Alligator mississippiensis: one gene and its partner. The protein of the gene in region 1 interacts with the protein of each later gene in a pairwise test. Links are inferred from orthologs where the notes say so. Each region holds a gene or a part of one and is shown on either strand. Other genes may lie near its edges.

Region 1 (7,983 bases):
ATTTCTTTTTTTTCTACATATGATGGGCTTGTGGATGAGGAATAGGAAAGCAGTTTATTTTTAGGATACATATCGTAGAGACCAGAGATTCTCTACAGAAGCTAAGGCTACCTCTTCGTGTATCAGGGAAAATGAAAAACAAGCTGCACATCAATCTCAACATACTTAGCTTTAAATGCTAGGTGTCAGTCCCTCCCCACACCTTACTACTGTCAACACTCTTAGTATTTGCTAAGAGATGCAGTACATGTAACCCCATTCCTGTTCTCAACTAAAAGGTACTTTCTTGACCTTTAAGTATAAGAATTACATCCTTTCCAGCAGTCTGATTAGAAGCTGTATCTATGTGGCTTCTGCAACTAGACTTATTCCTGGCAGACTTGCTAACAAAGCACTGCTTCCCTAGGCAAAGCTGCAGCTTTCTTTTTAATACCTTCTTTTTTTTCCCCAGCTGCTTAGGGAATTTTCACTTGTATCAAGTTACCTGGGAATGGATTTTGGATTCATTACTGCTCCATAAATTCTCTAAGACTTTCCTAGAGAGATGCATTTTAAATATAGCTTTATTTAAATGATAGAAAGGGGTTGCAAGGCAGCAGTTCTGTTCCCAATCTCCACTCTTACCCCACTCACTCTGCACTCTCCACAAAATGTTTGAGGGGATTGTCTGCACTTTATAAAAAAAGAATGTGAATCAAGGAAGCAGAGGTGCACCAATACATGGGTCCGATATTGGATCGGCACTGTTATAGAGAAAATTGACTGCATCGGAAATTGGCCTGATGTGGCCAATAATGTGGCCAATAAATGCCCCATGCATGCGTGCAGCCATAGTGCAGCACATAGCACAGCTCAGCAGTATGGAGAGCTGTGTCCAGCTGGTAAGTCTGTTGTGGTGGAAGGGAAGGGGGGAAAGAAGAGACTTGGGGGTGGGGGTAGATCAATGCCTCCACAGTGAGGGAGGGAGTGAGGCTGGGGCTGCACAGCCGTGGCAGGGCTCAGGATGGAGCCATGGTTCATCGGGGGGCAGGGCAGCGCCTGCCACTGTGTGCACCCTGGTGGGGAGGCATGTGCCTCCCAGATCTAGGCAGAGCAGGCTGCAGCTGTGGACTGGGGCCAGAGCTGCTCTGGGGTCTTCCTGGCAGGGGCTGGGCCAGCCTGCACCCAGGGAAGGTCGGGGTGACTGGCAGCACTGGGAGGGGGCGTTGAGGCTGTGGTGAATGGGGTGGCTGCAGCCCCCCACCGCCCCCATAGCTGGCCTCCCAGCACTGCCACTGCTGCCTGCCCCAAGCGCATCCCAGCCCAGCCCCTTCCAGGAAGAGCCTGTATGTGCTGCTCCCAAGTTGTCGGCCTGTTGTCAGCCATCCTTTGGCATGGACTAACATCCCTGTGACTGACCTCATCACAGATTTGCTTTAGGCAATTCTTTCAATAATAACTTAGGAATTAATTTAAAGTACAATTGACCAGCCTCCGCTGGTATAGACTTGTGGCTATCGGTTCTTGCCATACTCTGAGTGGGAATTCTTAGTGCCTTGCTGTGCCCCCAGGTACCCACCCAGCCAGCCACCGCTCCTGGCCTCGATGCTGCTTGGGACTTCATGTTCTGCCTCATCACTAGGGCTTCAGCCCTCCTAGGGTCTACTCTCACCCCAATGGATCACTTCCGAGCTCTGACTAGCCTCAGGTCCAGTTGGGGCTTCCCTGCTAGGCCTGGCATTGCCTCCTGGCTTCCGTCCCCACTCTTCCCCACTGGGTACCTCTGGGCTCCAATGCTGCCCGTCCAGTTGGAGCTCTGAGCCCTTCTCCCTCCAGTTCTTCACCAGGGTGCACAGCTGGCTCAGCTCTCTGGGCAAGCCACATGTGTCTTCCCAGCCATCCTTCACCAGGGTGCACAGCTGGCTCAGCTTTTCTGGTGAGCCACGTGCAGCTGCCCAGCTGCTCTTTACTGGGGCGTGCCAATGGCTCTGCTCTCCATGCGAGGCTTCCTGGCTCTGCCTCATCTCCTCCAGCTCCTCCGATCTTCGCAGCCACTCTGCCCAGCTGCTCCCTGGCTCGCTGCTAGCCCCTCTCCAGGCTGACGTCCTGCTGCAGCTTCCCCTTCCCAGCAAGCCACGCTGAGGCTCTCTGCCTTGGCTCTTCCCTCTGTGGCATTTCCCCAACGCTTTCCCCGACGCTTCCTCTCCCAGCGTGCCCTCTCTCAGTCCTTTTCCAGCCCCTTCACTCCCCGGGCCCTTTTCGCACCCTGATCTTCAGGCTTAGGCTGATCTTGAACTGCCACCCTGGGGCCAGCCTCTCTCTCCCTGCAGTGAGAGAAGAGGATCGTGGAGAAAAACCCGGTCAGCAGTCTCCTGCCCCTTCCCAGATATCATTTCTTGCCTGCACAGCTATGACTTGCCACTTGAGGCTTGATGGGTGGGGGGGTATGGCTACGAGCCAGGATGCCTGGACTCTTATCCCTGTTCTGTGGGGGAGGGAGAGGGGCTGGAAGCAGTGCTTCCTGGGATGCTGGAGGACTGTAACTTGGTTGTTTGAATTCCATGGAGCAGACTAGGAGCTAACATGAGCTAGGTTGCATGGCCCAGAGATGCTTGGACTGCACTTAAAAATTGATGAGCTTTAAAGTGCAAATGCTCGCATTTTTAAATGCTGTTATTACGGTTTATGACTAAGGTGTAACGTCACCTTGATTAAAGCAAAGTCGTAGACAAAAACACTGGTCATCTGAAACTTCCGGATAATTAGAAGGTTTGACTGTAGAAAATAGACGTTTTTCTTTCTCATACTTAAGACTATTTTCCCCACCCAAGTATAATCTGAAAAACATTTCCAGGATCTAATTGGGTAAAGGTATCTAGTGGGGTTCTTATGGGGTCTGGTACTGTTCAATATCTTCATTTATGATTTGGAAGCTGGGGTTGAATGTACACTTAGTAAATATGCAGGTGACACCAAGCTGGGGAGAGTGAATTTTGCACTTTGGAAAATAGAATTAGGATTCAGAATGTCCTTGATTAATTGGAGAAATGGTCCAAAATTAATCAAATGAAATTCTATAAGTCTTGCACTTAAATCAGAACAATTAAATGTGCTAATAGGGACTGGGGAATGACTGCAGTACTGCAGAAAAGAACTACGGTGGTTATAGTGGACTGCAAGCTAAATATGAGCCAAAAGCTTGTTCTTTTTGCTAAAAAATCCAATAGCATACTGGGTTGTGTTAACAGGAATGTTACCCCACCCGCAAGTCAAGGGAAGAGACTCCTCCATTCTGTTCAGCACTGATTGAGTACTGTATCTAGTTCTGGGCACCACATTTGAAGAAAAATGTGAACAAACTGAAAAGGGTCCAGCAAACGTCATTAGAAGATCAGAAGTATTCAACAAAAATGATTACAAACTAGGAAACATGACTTACAAAAACAAAAATGTTGGAAAAATTGGAATTGTTTGCTAACTGTTAGTAAAAAGACTAATGGTTATTATACATGGTGAGAAACTTACTTCCTGTGGTATTTCATTCTATACATGGCAAGAACATAGTGTATGGGTATATCTACACATTGCCTTCCGGCACCGTAGTGATCACGCAGGGCTACACATGATCGCCAGCTACATCGCCGTAGTGACCTGCTCCCCCAGTATAGTGTGCTGCTACGGCAATGGAACAGCAAAATCTAACCATGTACTTCACGCATGGTAGCAATGTCACCATATGGCAACACATAGACATGCCCTTTGTGTGTTACTTTGATTGGTATTGGGTTTCTGACAAAGTGATTTGGATGATAATTTGCTGCATTTTTACTTGGCAATTTTTGGAGTATAATCTTAAGTATCTGGTAACATTTCTTTAGAAGTGACAACTAATCATCATCTAAGATGTACTAAATGCTTTTGTTTAAAGAAAGGTGAGATGCATGTATTTGTTGTGGCTGTCTCATAAAACAGGGCTCCTGCTCCGTGAAACATTAGCTACCAAACCTGATGTAGCCCTTCAATATATTGTTGTATTAGTGGTGCACAGAGGGCCTGATGATGTAAAGTTGAGTTGTTCAAGCCATAACTGAACCACTGTTTAATTTCACTCTGGTTTTAATGGATACAATATTCCTGGTGAATCCATACTGGTGGTTCCTGATCCTCTTGTTCTCCTCTAGGTTCCTCACAATAGATGAATTTTTCCTCCAGTGAAGTTCAACCAAGTCCCCACACAAAATGGGGACTTTTGCTGCCCAGTGTCTGCAGGAGACTTTCCATTCAGGTTGTTCACTTTATCAAATGCTGGGAAAATTGCCCTTTACACATTTTAAGTATGAGAGCATTGAGAGGACAGAAAGGAGCCATTAGTTCTTGTGACTGGAATGGTTGTTGTTGCCTCTGTCCAGTAACTTTTGAATACAAGATCCACATCAAACTGGAATAGTAATGCCAGTGGTTCTGTACTGAAAGACTGGAGTTTTTGTCTCATCCTGCTCTGCCCCTTCCTGACAAATCCAATTCAGAACACCCCAAAGATCGAGGAGGGGGTGTGGGGAGTTTTGAGTTTCACTTCCCAATCAAGTCCCATGGAAATACTGCTGAAAGTCAATATACAATGGTTAAAGAATGAATAGGTTCAGTTTCTTTTGCAATGGTCGTTTTTTTCGGTTTTGTTTTGTGGGGGGAAAAGAGATATGTGGGAGTGGGGGAAGCAGAGGTTTTGTCCAAGTGCTTTTTCTTTGAAAAAGTTCTCAAAACTCATTCTGAGACTTGCTCCTTTAAGAACATTGTACATGATATATATTTTTCTACAGTGTGTGAGCATACTATGTCAAAGAATTGTTTTGATTTCAGAGCTGAGGGAGCCAGCTATCTGCATGTCACAAGGTCTAAGGGAAACGAGCTGACCCTCAGCCTACTTCCACCGAGCCAAATTCTGATGGGATTCTTAAATAGCTTTGGCAAACAATTCTGTTTCTTTTGGACTTGATGAATGTTTCTGAAAACATCTTATTTTTCTTCCTTTATTTTGCTACACGGTCACCAACAGAAGCAGCTTGAAATCAAATGTAAGTATTGTATCTCCTTTCTCTTACCCCTGTTTTATTTGAGAACATTTTGAAATGCCAGGGTACCAGGTGACCAATGAACAGTTTATGAACAGCTAAGCAAGAATTTCTCTTTACACATGACTTCTAATTTCATCTTTGATTCTGAATAGACTGTTTTAATTAATTACAGTGACTTAACGAAGATAAAGGCATATGCTATATATATCAAAAAGTAGATTTTTCCTGAATTTTTCCTTTAAAATGCACCTTCTTCAAATTTCCTGCAGTTGTGTGAAAATTTTAACAGTTTTCTTAAGATATACCAAGAAGAGGCTCCAACATTTGTTTGAAAGTTTAATCATATCCATGCTATTAATTAGATTATTAATTACTATCGTTTTTTGTTTTTTTTAAAAGAGCAACTAGACCTTACCATCATCTCTTCAGGAAATTAACAAAATGTATGTTTGTTTTCTCATAGAATTGGGACAATGTGTGTTGGATATTTATCTACCATTGGGGGAGAGCTCTCAAATGTCCCTTTAAATTTCATACAGATTTAGAATTTAAAGGATTACAATTAGGTTGAAGAGATGTATCGGTGCATAAAAAAAAGTTTTGCATTTATGGATAAAAAGATGGAAATTATCCATAATTGAAGGACAATACAATATAAAATCGGTGCTACCTGATTTCATATAGGTAGTAGAGAGCACTATGTTTGGTGCTATGTTCATATAGGTAACAGAGAGTCATTTTTCCTTTTGAATACAAGACCAAAATCGTACTTAATAGTTTTATTAAACACAATTTATATTGTAATCACAAATATATTCTGAAGTATACTATTTTATAGCTTTCTCTATTTTCAACATATTTGTTATACACTCTGAAGCTCCAACTTCTACTAGTTGAAAGCGAGAAAATTGCAGGGCTTTTGAAGGAGCGACGGATCAGTTTTGACCCATGGTATCTCAAGGTTATTTGTAGGCAAAGTTTGAGGAATACTTTTGATAGATATCATAAATCCCTTAAGATGTCCTCTTGCCCACATGCCGGTAAAGCCAGCTTTCTTTACAATTTATTTTCTGCTGTTACGGTTTAATTTTAAAAGCTGAAGTCTGTGTAAATAGCAAAAGATGGGGTCAAATTTACTTTTTGTGAGTATTTCCCTGTCAGTTTTCTGAGAGGTGCCACATAGAGAAATTCTAAGAATTCAATCTCTTCCAGTCTAGTTATATATGCTTCATAGTTCTTGTGGAGCCCCCAACACTTTGGCTGTGATGGACATGGAAAACTAACTAACATGATGCCTCTTGTGGGCATGATGCCTCTTGACTCAGCACAGGGGTGCACAGAGTATAAAGTAAAGCACCGTTTACTTTGGGGGGGGGTTACGTCTGCAAGCAGGCTTTGTAAATAGGAATAATGAAATGCCACTTATGTTCCATTTTTTTATTTGCATTTATTAGGAAGTGGTCATCCAGATCTGTGGATGTGGCTTTGAAAATCTCAGTCCATTTATCTTATAGACTTTTTTCCATTAGGGAGGGTTTGATATAATAGGAATTAAATTAATAGGATTCTTCGGAAATTGAACAGCACTGCACAAAAGCTGCTTCAAAAATACAGGAAATCTAATGGAAAATGATAAAAAATCTCTCTCATAGCTCTTTCATGTATACAATTTTATAAAACTATAAGATGACTGACAAAGTAGTGGCTCGTCCCACCTCATTGTTTCCAGTGCTAAGGCTTTTCTTTGATTCCTGATAATCTGACTTCAGAAATTTCCCTCCATGTATTTCTTGGTCTGGCTTGGCTTTTGCAACTCTTTGCCCTGAAGCTGTTTTAATGTTTCCTGTGTCAGGTTCTTTTTTATTTCAGTTTCTTTTTGTTCCCCCATTATTCTAGTCATGGTACTTCCAGTAGTTCTCATGAAATATATATCAATGTCCTTCACAATCTTATCTCTTCTAGCCACCTACTCATCCTGTTAATTAATTTGTACACAAAACACTTTGGATAATTTATCATCAGTTAAAACGTAGTTGTACATGCATGCTAAATTGCAATGGAATTTGCTCCAGTTATGCCATCGGAAGAACTTGTCAGGCTAAGTAGACACTCTTCAGCTTTAAAGGTATTAATCTAAGCCATCCATAGCATCTGTCATGATAGATGATGCTTACAAAGCATTGGACACTTCTCAGCTTTTCTTAACGTAGACAATCCATTATCTTGCTGAATTATCTGCTATTTTGGGTGCATGTAAGTGTGCACCCAAGCAAGTTTCATATTATGCATAATGTTAGCCATATTTTAACATTAGCATATGGTTTAACACGGCTAATGTTAGCTTTGTTAAACCATAACTACTGGCTTATCAAGTTAATAAGTGGAACATTTTAGTGCACCAGCTCTTTACCAGATCATACTACCCAATGCAATAATAATTCAGTGATATCAGTAGTCATCCATACATTTTTAAACACCCAAGGGCTTTAAAATGATTGTAATGTTAAGTCTTAATTTGTAGTTACTACATTAAGTCTGGTGTATTTTCCTCCTTTTATCACAGACTTTCAAGCAGGATCTTGCCCTAGTCATTTCACTGTTTGCATGACCTATCTGTAAGATAAAGATTTTGCAGCATCCTCCTCTGTAAAATGAAAGTAATATTTGTCTCACAAGGAGATGATGAAGAGTAGTTTATTAATAATTTATAAAGTGCATTGGAATCAAAGGCTTGGAGCTGAAGCATGGAAGTACTAAGCATAGTAAGTCCTGTAAACAAGCCAGCTGTGATCCTTTAATTGGCCTGAAGATTATATTCAGCTCATTTTGGGTACTTTTTTTTTTGTTTAACTATTATTGATGCCAAATGGTTTTATTTTTTCATGGGAAAACTAGGCAAAATCACTTCAGTGGAAAGAGAAAACAAAAATAA
Region 2 (7,812 bases), on another chromosome or scaffold:
TTCAAGTTGAGGTTTCCACTTTCAGAAGTTGGGCCATCCCCTACAAAACCTGATGCAAGACTTGTAGGTGAGCTAGGACTACAGAACTTTTAAAAAGAATGAGTCTAGTCTGGGTAAAAGGTCTAGAGAGTATTAAGTGAGACTGCAATCTCATTCCTCCAAACTAAGTGGCACAACAGAGTAGAGGTGGGGGAGGGGTTAAGAGGAAAATGAAGAGACTAAAAAGAGACTAAGCTTTGAGCAGCATCTTGCAAAATTTTCAGATGAAGGCTATGGGAAAGCATGTTATGATATGTCCTGATGTCTGAATACCAGCTACCTCATTAATTGCTACATGTAAGCCACATTGGAACAAACTTTGAGCTGAGAAAGACAGACCCTCAGCATCATATTAACATGCCATAAAGTAGAAGGAAACTATGAACAGGTTTGGTGTCATATAGACAACAACCTAAGGGCCCACTGGACACAAAGAATGGGCCTGATACACTTGAGTACAAAGGAGGCTTGAAGAAACTACTAGCTTCAAAGAGGTGGGCATAAGAGTTCTTAAGTTCCATGACCGAACTACACTTCAGATTCATGTCTATGAATACAATTATTTTCACCGCCTGGTAACAACAAAAAGTAAATAACAACTAATATTTATAAAGGAAACCTATGTTGAGTAGGCCATCTCAGTTCAGTTCCTAATTCACACGAATACACATCAAAACAGGCACTGATACTAATTACAGAAGACCAGGATAACTGAAGAGCTTTCAGACAGAACTACTAACATGTACACATGACTGTAGAACCAACTAAGACATCAATTCTTTGGCTACTACACATCTGATATGTGCACGCTATCACAGAGATTCACTTGATAAATACAGGAGGACAGGTCTGTAGGCAAGCTGGCAAAAACCATGGGAAACCAGAGACTAGCAGAGGAATAACGCTCTCAACATTAGCATTATGCTACAAAAATTATATTGGAGCAAAATAACTAACTCACGAACCCTGCCCGAGTAAAAAAACTTGAGACAAAGCCACAGGTGCGGAATCAAATGGCTCAGGAGTCCTACACTATGCTAAAGGATTAGGATATAAATACCAATCAGTATACTGAAATATGAAGTATAATTCCTTTTTAACATTTTCTACTATAACTTTTGCTTGAATATTTTAAGATGTAAGACGATATATCATCATTACAAATGTAGAACATTATCGTATCATCTGTCTCCCTTATTTATCAGCAAAATATTTTGAAATATCTCTTTAAACAAATCCCAAAACTGCTTTTAGGTGCTTAGGGAAGAAACAGAAATATACACCTCAGTACTTACATGTTGAATTCGACTCATTTTGAGCAAGAAAACTAGGGGTAAAAAAATCAAAATTTATTTTCATCCAGCTTTTGGGTTGCAAAACATCTCCAAACTCTAGGACATAAGAGAACACCACGTACCTTACCTACCTCTAACTTTTCTGGCTGTCTCAACTCTTTAGGTCATCACATGAACAGTGTACGGCTCTATTGCAAAAACACGGGTAAAATGATGCCTATAACTTTCCACTCTTGTGTCACTCTGAGAAGCCCCAAATTCCCAAAGAGCTATTTTTGTGAAGAACTTAAAATAATGTACAGCATTATCTGTGGCCCTTACTCTGTCCCATCCTTAATACAGAAGATGTGTTTTGAGATTCAATTGAATCCCTCCTATAAGAAAATGAAATGTATGTATGACATGGGGAATATGATGATCAGCAGTAAAGTGTCATATTTATCTCAATACAGGTAACAATTCTAAATGTTCTTTATTTTTGTTTGCTTCTCCTATCCTTCTGTGTTTCAGATTACCTGAGCTATGGGAGGAATCTGACTTTGGCCTGGCAGGTTTTGCATGCGAACAGCATCACTCTCTGCTGCAGACTCTGCAGCACTTCCATCTTGTTGTGATTCAACCATTTCCATGGTCATTTGTCTAAAAAAAATAAGTAAAATAAATACATACAGAATGCAGTGCAAGGAACTGAAATCAGAACTGAAGAACATACTTATTTGAATATTATTAATTCCCCCTCATTTGTTCACAATTTCATCTTTTGAAAGTATCTGACAAAAAGATCAACCCAAGAGTCTCATAGAATCACAGTATATCACCATGCACTGCCTATAAATTGGAACTCAAGTTCAGTCCCTTGGCCAGGGAAGGAAGTACTATAGTCAATACCTCCAGTATACAGTACAGAAAAAGAAAGAATAATTTTCTGGCAACCCATTCTTTCTGGATGCTATTTCTGATGGGAGAGCCACATCAAGCCTTTACTGTGTGTCGGGCAAGGAAACAAGGAGGGGTGCTGGGGCTAAAGAAACTTAATGGTGTAAAGCAAAGAGAGTATTTTGAGAAGCCCTTATGGGCAAGGTAGAAACACCTAACAATTCTTTATTATTTGCTTCTTTTATAGGACTAACTAAATAGCTGCTTGTGAATAATAAGTAGATTCAATACAGTATAGGGTCAGATGACTTTGAAGGGTTATCTAGGAGGAAATTATTAGAAAATTAATCTTTTCTGAGTTCCTTTAGGTTAAATACTGAAAAATATTATAGGTCCCTCAATCAAAAAACACAGATGGACAAATTTATGTAAAGAGTGATTTTGGCTTACACTTGTGGATTTTTTTTTCTGACTTCATTTTTTATCTATTCGCAAAATTAGGTATCAGAGACAGATAGGGGAGAAATACAGAAGTTAAGCCAGCAAAATATCTGAAGTGTTCAGACAGGTACTGCACAAAAATTTTACTGATCTTGTCTACTGAACACAAACGTTCCCCCCCTCTAGACAAAAAAATAATTATTTATAGTTTTTGTCTATCTTCCCTTATCACAATTCAAAATATAACGATTTAATACTTGAAAACAGGACTAATCCCATTTCAAACCAAACCATATGCATTTGGCATCACCACTGGGTTGTGTTGTGACATCATTTTAGATGGTATAGAGCTTACCTCAATTGATAAGTTACACAGGAGCTTAGCTAATTGCACAACCATCAATTAACACTTATGAACTTGGAGGAAACTTTCAAACATATCAACTTGATAATTACCTTACAGTTATTTTTCCATGGTATTTCTTGACACACTTGCTCATAGTGGAAGTATGTGTGTTTTAAAACAAAAGCTTGGTTCTCCTCAGCTCTCTCTCCCTCCTACTGAACACCACACTGAAGTTATGATGTTGAATTTGTGATGTCACAATCATCACCATGGCAACAAACTGATATCATAAACAGTATTAGACATTATGACAGGTTCAAGCAGTAAGAGACAGAGAAAGCTGTCAAACACACACCTCAGATATTATCACAAGTGCAAAGGAAAAAAACCATAAGGACAGGAGAACTGCTTCATTTGGTGGTTCTCAACCTTTTTATACTCAAGGCACTCCTCAGAAAATGTTAGCTCTTAGATTTCACTCAACTTTTGACTACAGAAAAGTTCTGTGGCAAAGAATTCAGCAAGACCACAACAGGTGAGAAAGTGTTTAACACTATAAATTCCTACTTGAAATCTATGGGTTTATCTTCTGAACAAGGTTTCCATACCACAGAGGTTAACATTGCATGGCATCTCATGACACCTCTGAAAAAAATCTCAAGGCACCCCAGGGTACACTGGCTCCCTGGTTGAAATTCGCTGGCTTAGATGTTACTGCCATTTCCTTACAATGTATTTATGCTCTTTTGTAAAAGCTGGGGCCTGAACAGGCAAAACCCAGCTGTAAAGTTCAACTGTTGGCAAGTGAGCAGAACTTTCTGAAGTTTATTCTTGGGTCTTACATCATCATGCAAAACAGGCGGGGACTGTTCTATTTCAAAGATTCTGAGGGTTCTGAAAAACAAATCTAGAGACACATTCATGAGTTAACTACTATTATCTTAGAGTACAGACACAAGCGACAATTTTAGCCTGATGTGGCCACATGAAGTTGTCTATAGCTGTGACCAAACACAAATGCATAGCTGCAGACTGCTTCAAAAATGGCAGATTGGGTGAAAATCTGACCCCTCATTGCATGAGGGGTCAAAGCAGATGTTTCAAAACAAAGCATCTTCTGTAGCTTCTGTCTGTGCTGCCTGCCAGCCTTGAGATGTTTTCAGAATGGGAGGGCAAGGAAGGAAAGGGAGGAGTGAGTTTGGTTTGGGGGTTTTTTGGCCCCTGCTGGAGGGTGGGGCAGGTGTATTAGAGCACCCTGGTCCAATTCACCCACCCCACCCAGCACTGGCCAGGAAATCCCTAGAACGAGCTCCCTCCCCGCCCCTCCCGTTCTGATACAGGGACAGGATGGGCGAGAGGGGGGCCGCTGCTAGGGGAAACCAGCTGCAGGCTCCCAACCCACAGCTAGATTCCCCTCCCCTTTGGAACCAATGGTCCAAGGGATCATTGTAATTCAGAACGCTTCCTGCAAAGCACTCTCAGTTACAGTGGAGAGCTGAACTTCCTGCTGCATCCTCAGTGTTTTCTGGAATGCCCTACTTCAGTTAAGGGATTTGTCTCTCATATTCCAAACACGCTCGTTACAATGCTTGATTCTAATGTGAAAAGGGATAAAACTAATCGAATGGTATCTCTGGGCAGCAAAATTATAGGTAACTTCCCCTCCCTGCACAGATACCATCATGATTAGTTTTACAAGAATACCCTGCCAGTATGTCCCCTCTGCTGATCTCAGCTACATTAATGTCTCTTGGTAATTAGGTTCTAAACAATAATAAGCTTTCAGGGTTAGAACTGCCTTCTTACCATCTACCAGAAAAATCTCAGGAAGCCAATTCTGCTCACAGAGCACTGGCAAGCAAAGCTCCATTTAAATTAGCCTGAACTACAATCCCATTGTATCTAACTGTATCTTTCTACACTATATGCAAGGCGATCTTGTTGACTCACTACATATTACACAAATAACACTGCGATAATAGGCAACGTTCTAGGAAGAAATCCTCCCTCCCCTAGTAATCTTAGCATGCCCTTAAAACAGAGGCATGGGGACTGGACAATATATACGAATTTACCTCTGAAAGAATGCCTCCACAGACAACAAAACAACTTAAATACCAGAGTGAATGTAATCTGTATGCACTGCCAACACATTCACTACATACTATTAAAAATGTGATTCTAATTATTGTACACTAGCAGGTCCAAAAATATACAAGAATATTTTATATTCAACATAATCTCCCACAGATATCCAGTTAAAAAAATTACTATTTTTCCTATTCCCACTATGTGTCCCACAGATTTCATTTACTGAAAGCTACTTTTAATGCTTCAGAAACTGATATATTTCCAGGTGCTATTTCACCGTTTTTGACTTGGTTTGTATTCTGTGTAACCAGTACATCCATCAGTTAATTGAACAGTATTTCTTCTTAAGTATCAAAAAGCCAAAAACAAAATGTTAGCTAGTATCCCCTAGCCAGTTTTGTAGTTTCCCAGATAGTATTTAATCCTTCATTGACTGCCAATTGTCACTCTTTTTACAAAGCAGCTTTATTTTACTATTTGCTTTTGAATTTAGCAAGACCAGCAAGGAACATATCAAGTCACTTCCATAGTGTAGGAATCTAACTACTTATCACTACAAGTTAACTGATTTTACTCTTGCATCTATGTTATTTACAAACAACGAATATTCTTGTCTATGTTGTTGTATAAATGTATAGCTTAACTTTAATCATGAGAATACAAAATAAAAAAATTAAGAAAATATTACTAGAACAAGAGGGAGAACTGAAATATTTATTTTTTAGATACTCTGTACTAAACCAGTAAGAACTCACTGGCAAGTACAATATACCTCTGCAAGACATAACTTAATTCTTCAAAGATATAGTTATATATATTCTGGGTCTCAAAGTGGATAGATGGGTAATTGATGTAAAAAACAAATCAACTGAAAAGCAAGTGATGAAGTTAGCCATCAATATTTTATTATTTAGGAGCATAATTTGTCTAAAATTAGGAGAATAGCAGTATTAACAATGCATAAAAATGTAAAAGGCAGGTGGGATTAATTCAGTTCAATCCAGAGACTACCAATATGAAATGCGTTTTCTTCCATCAATGTAAATTCAGACTTGGGTAGAAGCAAACCTACCTATTATCAAAGAAAATGTATCAACAGATTATTTCTCAATTTCCCGATTACACCCTTTCTTTAAAAAAAATCCAAAGATTTTTGAAAAAGCATTAAGACCTACAGTCATGTCTTTAACTGAATATGTATAGCAAAACCTTAGTTCAGTTTGAGTGGGAAAATCATTTAAAACAGGAAACAGCTTTATTTTCTTTTAGAAGGAAAATTGAACAAATACAGTGTTAGAGAAGACAGAATTATCTTTAATTCAAAAGTTTGAAAAAGCTGAAGAATGCACTGCAATCAAAAGCTTGTTGTCTAAGTCTACCTCAACCATGCCACTAGCCCAGTAAAGGATAATCCCCCCAAAAAATCCTTGCCACTTGCAAAAAGCTGCATTTTATATTAACACTTAAATTCTATAACAGAATCAGCTATTCCATTTGACTGCACCCAAGAGATGTACTGAACTATCATCAACTGATAGTTTGTAGTACAAATTGTCAGAGAACCCATGTTTTAAGGAAATGCTTTCATCCTTTGAAAGCAGACTAGGAATATATGCTGCATAGTGATTTATTTCTCCTGTGTCAACTGCTTTAACCTCCTGCTCTCAAAATGTATTTCAGGTTACGGGAGTGACATTTGGCACTAGTCTAGTACTAGGACATTTAAACTCCCAAAGGACCTCACTGGCATACTGCTCAGTTCTGAAAAAAGGGCAGCATTCCAGAGGTGTTATTAGTACTGGATGCTGTAAGGAGCAGTATTTTTAAAACGCTCAATAAAGATGTCAGACACATGAGAGGGCCAAGGCCACACCTCCTTCTACCTTTCCTCCCCAAAATAAACCCCACACTCAGAATATTTATTCCAATAGATGTGATTTATCTTATCAAACAGAGAACAGAACTTTTTGGACAAAAGCCAGCTGAGAAGCAGCAATAGCCAAAAGGTAAAGGTGATCATATGATCTACAGCGGGCAAAAAGTTATCAGAATCTGGAGGTGCAAACTTTAGCTCTAGTAGATCCTTTTTTGTTTTGTCTTGAGACTCAGTTGTTAAACAAATCCTTAACAAGAGCCAATGCAAGAAAGTGGCTTTGAAAAGGAAAAACTGCATACCATATCCAATCTTGCAGCCCTATAAGTAACTGAATATGTATCTAAGTATTTAATGTTTTGCTGGTGAAATATAATATTCAAACTAATCCAGGACTTGAAGCATCTGATTAAATACTCGAATCATTTTATGACATGTTTTTTATTGCAGTAGTAATACAGCATGATACAGTACAAAACATGAGAAATTCTTTACATAGGCAGCTTAGTAGTGAGGAAACTGGAATTTAATCAGAGGATTAATAAACTTGATCAGGACTTTAGTACAGGCCTCTCTGAAGGCTCACCTCTACAGGAAGTCATTGCGAACTAAGGCAGGGTGGGATCTGAACACGTCAGTTCATCTGCGGTAACTCCCTGTGTAACCTCTTTGGCTAGAAACAGACTTGGTGGGAAGGAAGGGCTCAGCTCTGCCGCATACTTTGTGGCATAGCCCACTCACTTCACTGGGCCCAACATATTGCTCAGCGTCTTGCCCTTGATGGGACAGGACAAGGGGTGACATGAAATCCTGGCTGTCCCCGTTACCTGGGCCAGCCCATAATTTTTTGG

Evidence for each region. The genes of interacting proteins can lie anywhere in the genome.
Region 2: the proteins of FHL5 (region 1) and CREM interact in a two-hybrid assay, tested with the Homo sapiens proteins (2 studies listed by BioGRID). The link is inferred for Alligator mississippiensis from reciprocal best matches to the Homo sapiens genes FHL5 and CREM.

What each region holds. Positions count from the first base shown.
Region 1 is NC_081824.1:82,615,630-82,623,612, forward strand, and holds the start of FHL5 (four and a half LIM domains protein 5), read left to right. Parts: upstream 1-4,855; 5' UTR 4,856-5,051; intron 5,052-7,983. UniProt on the Homo sapiens protein: May be involved in the regulation of spermatogenesis. Stimulates CREM transcriptional activity in a phosphorylation-independent manner.
Region 2 is NC_081828.1:195,073,466-195,081,277, reverse strand, and holds the start of CREM (cAMP-responsive element modulator), read right to left. Parts: upstream 3,250-7,812; 5' UTR 3,152-3,249; coding exon 3,108-3,151; intron 1,974-3,107; coding exon 1,850-1,973; intron 1-1,849.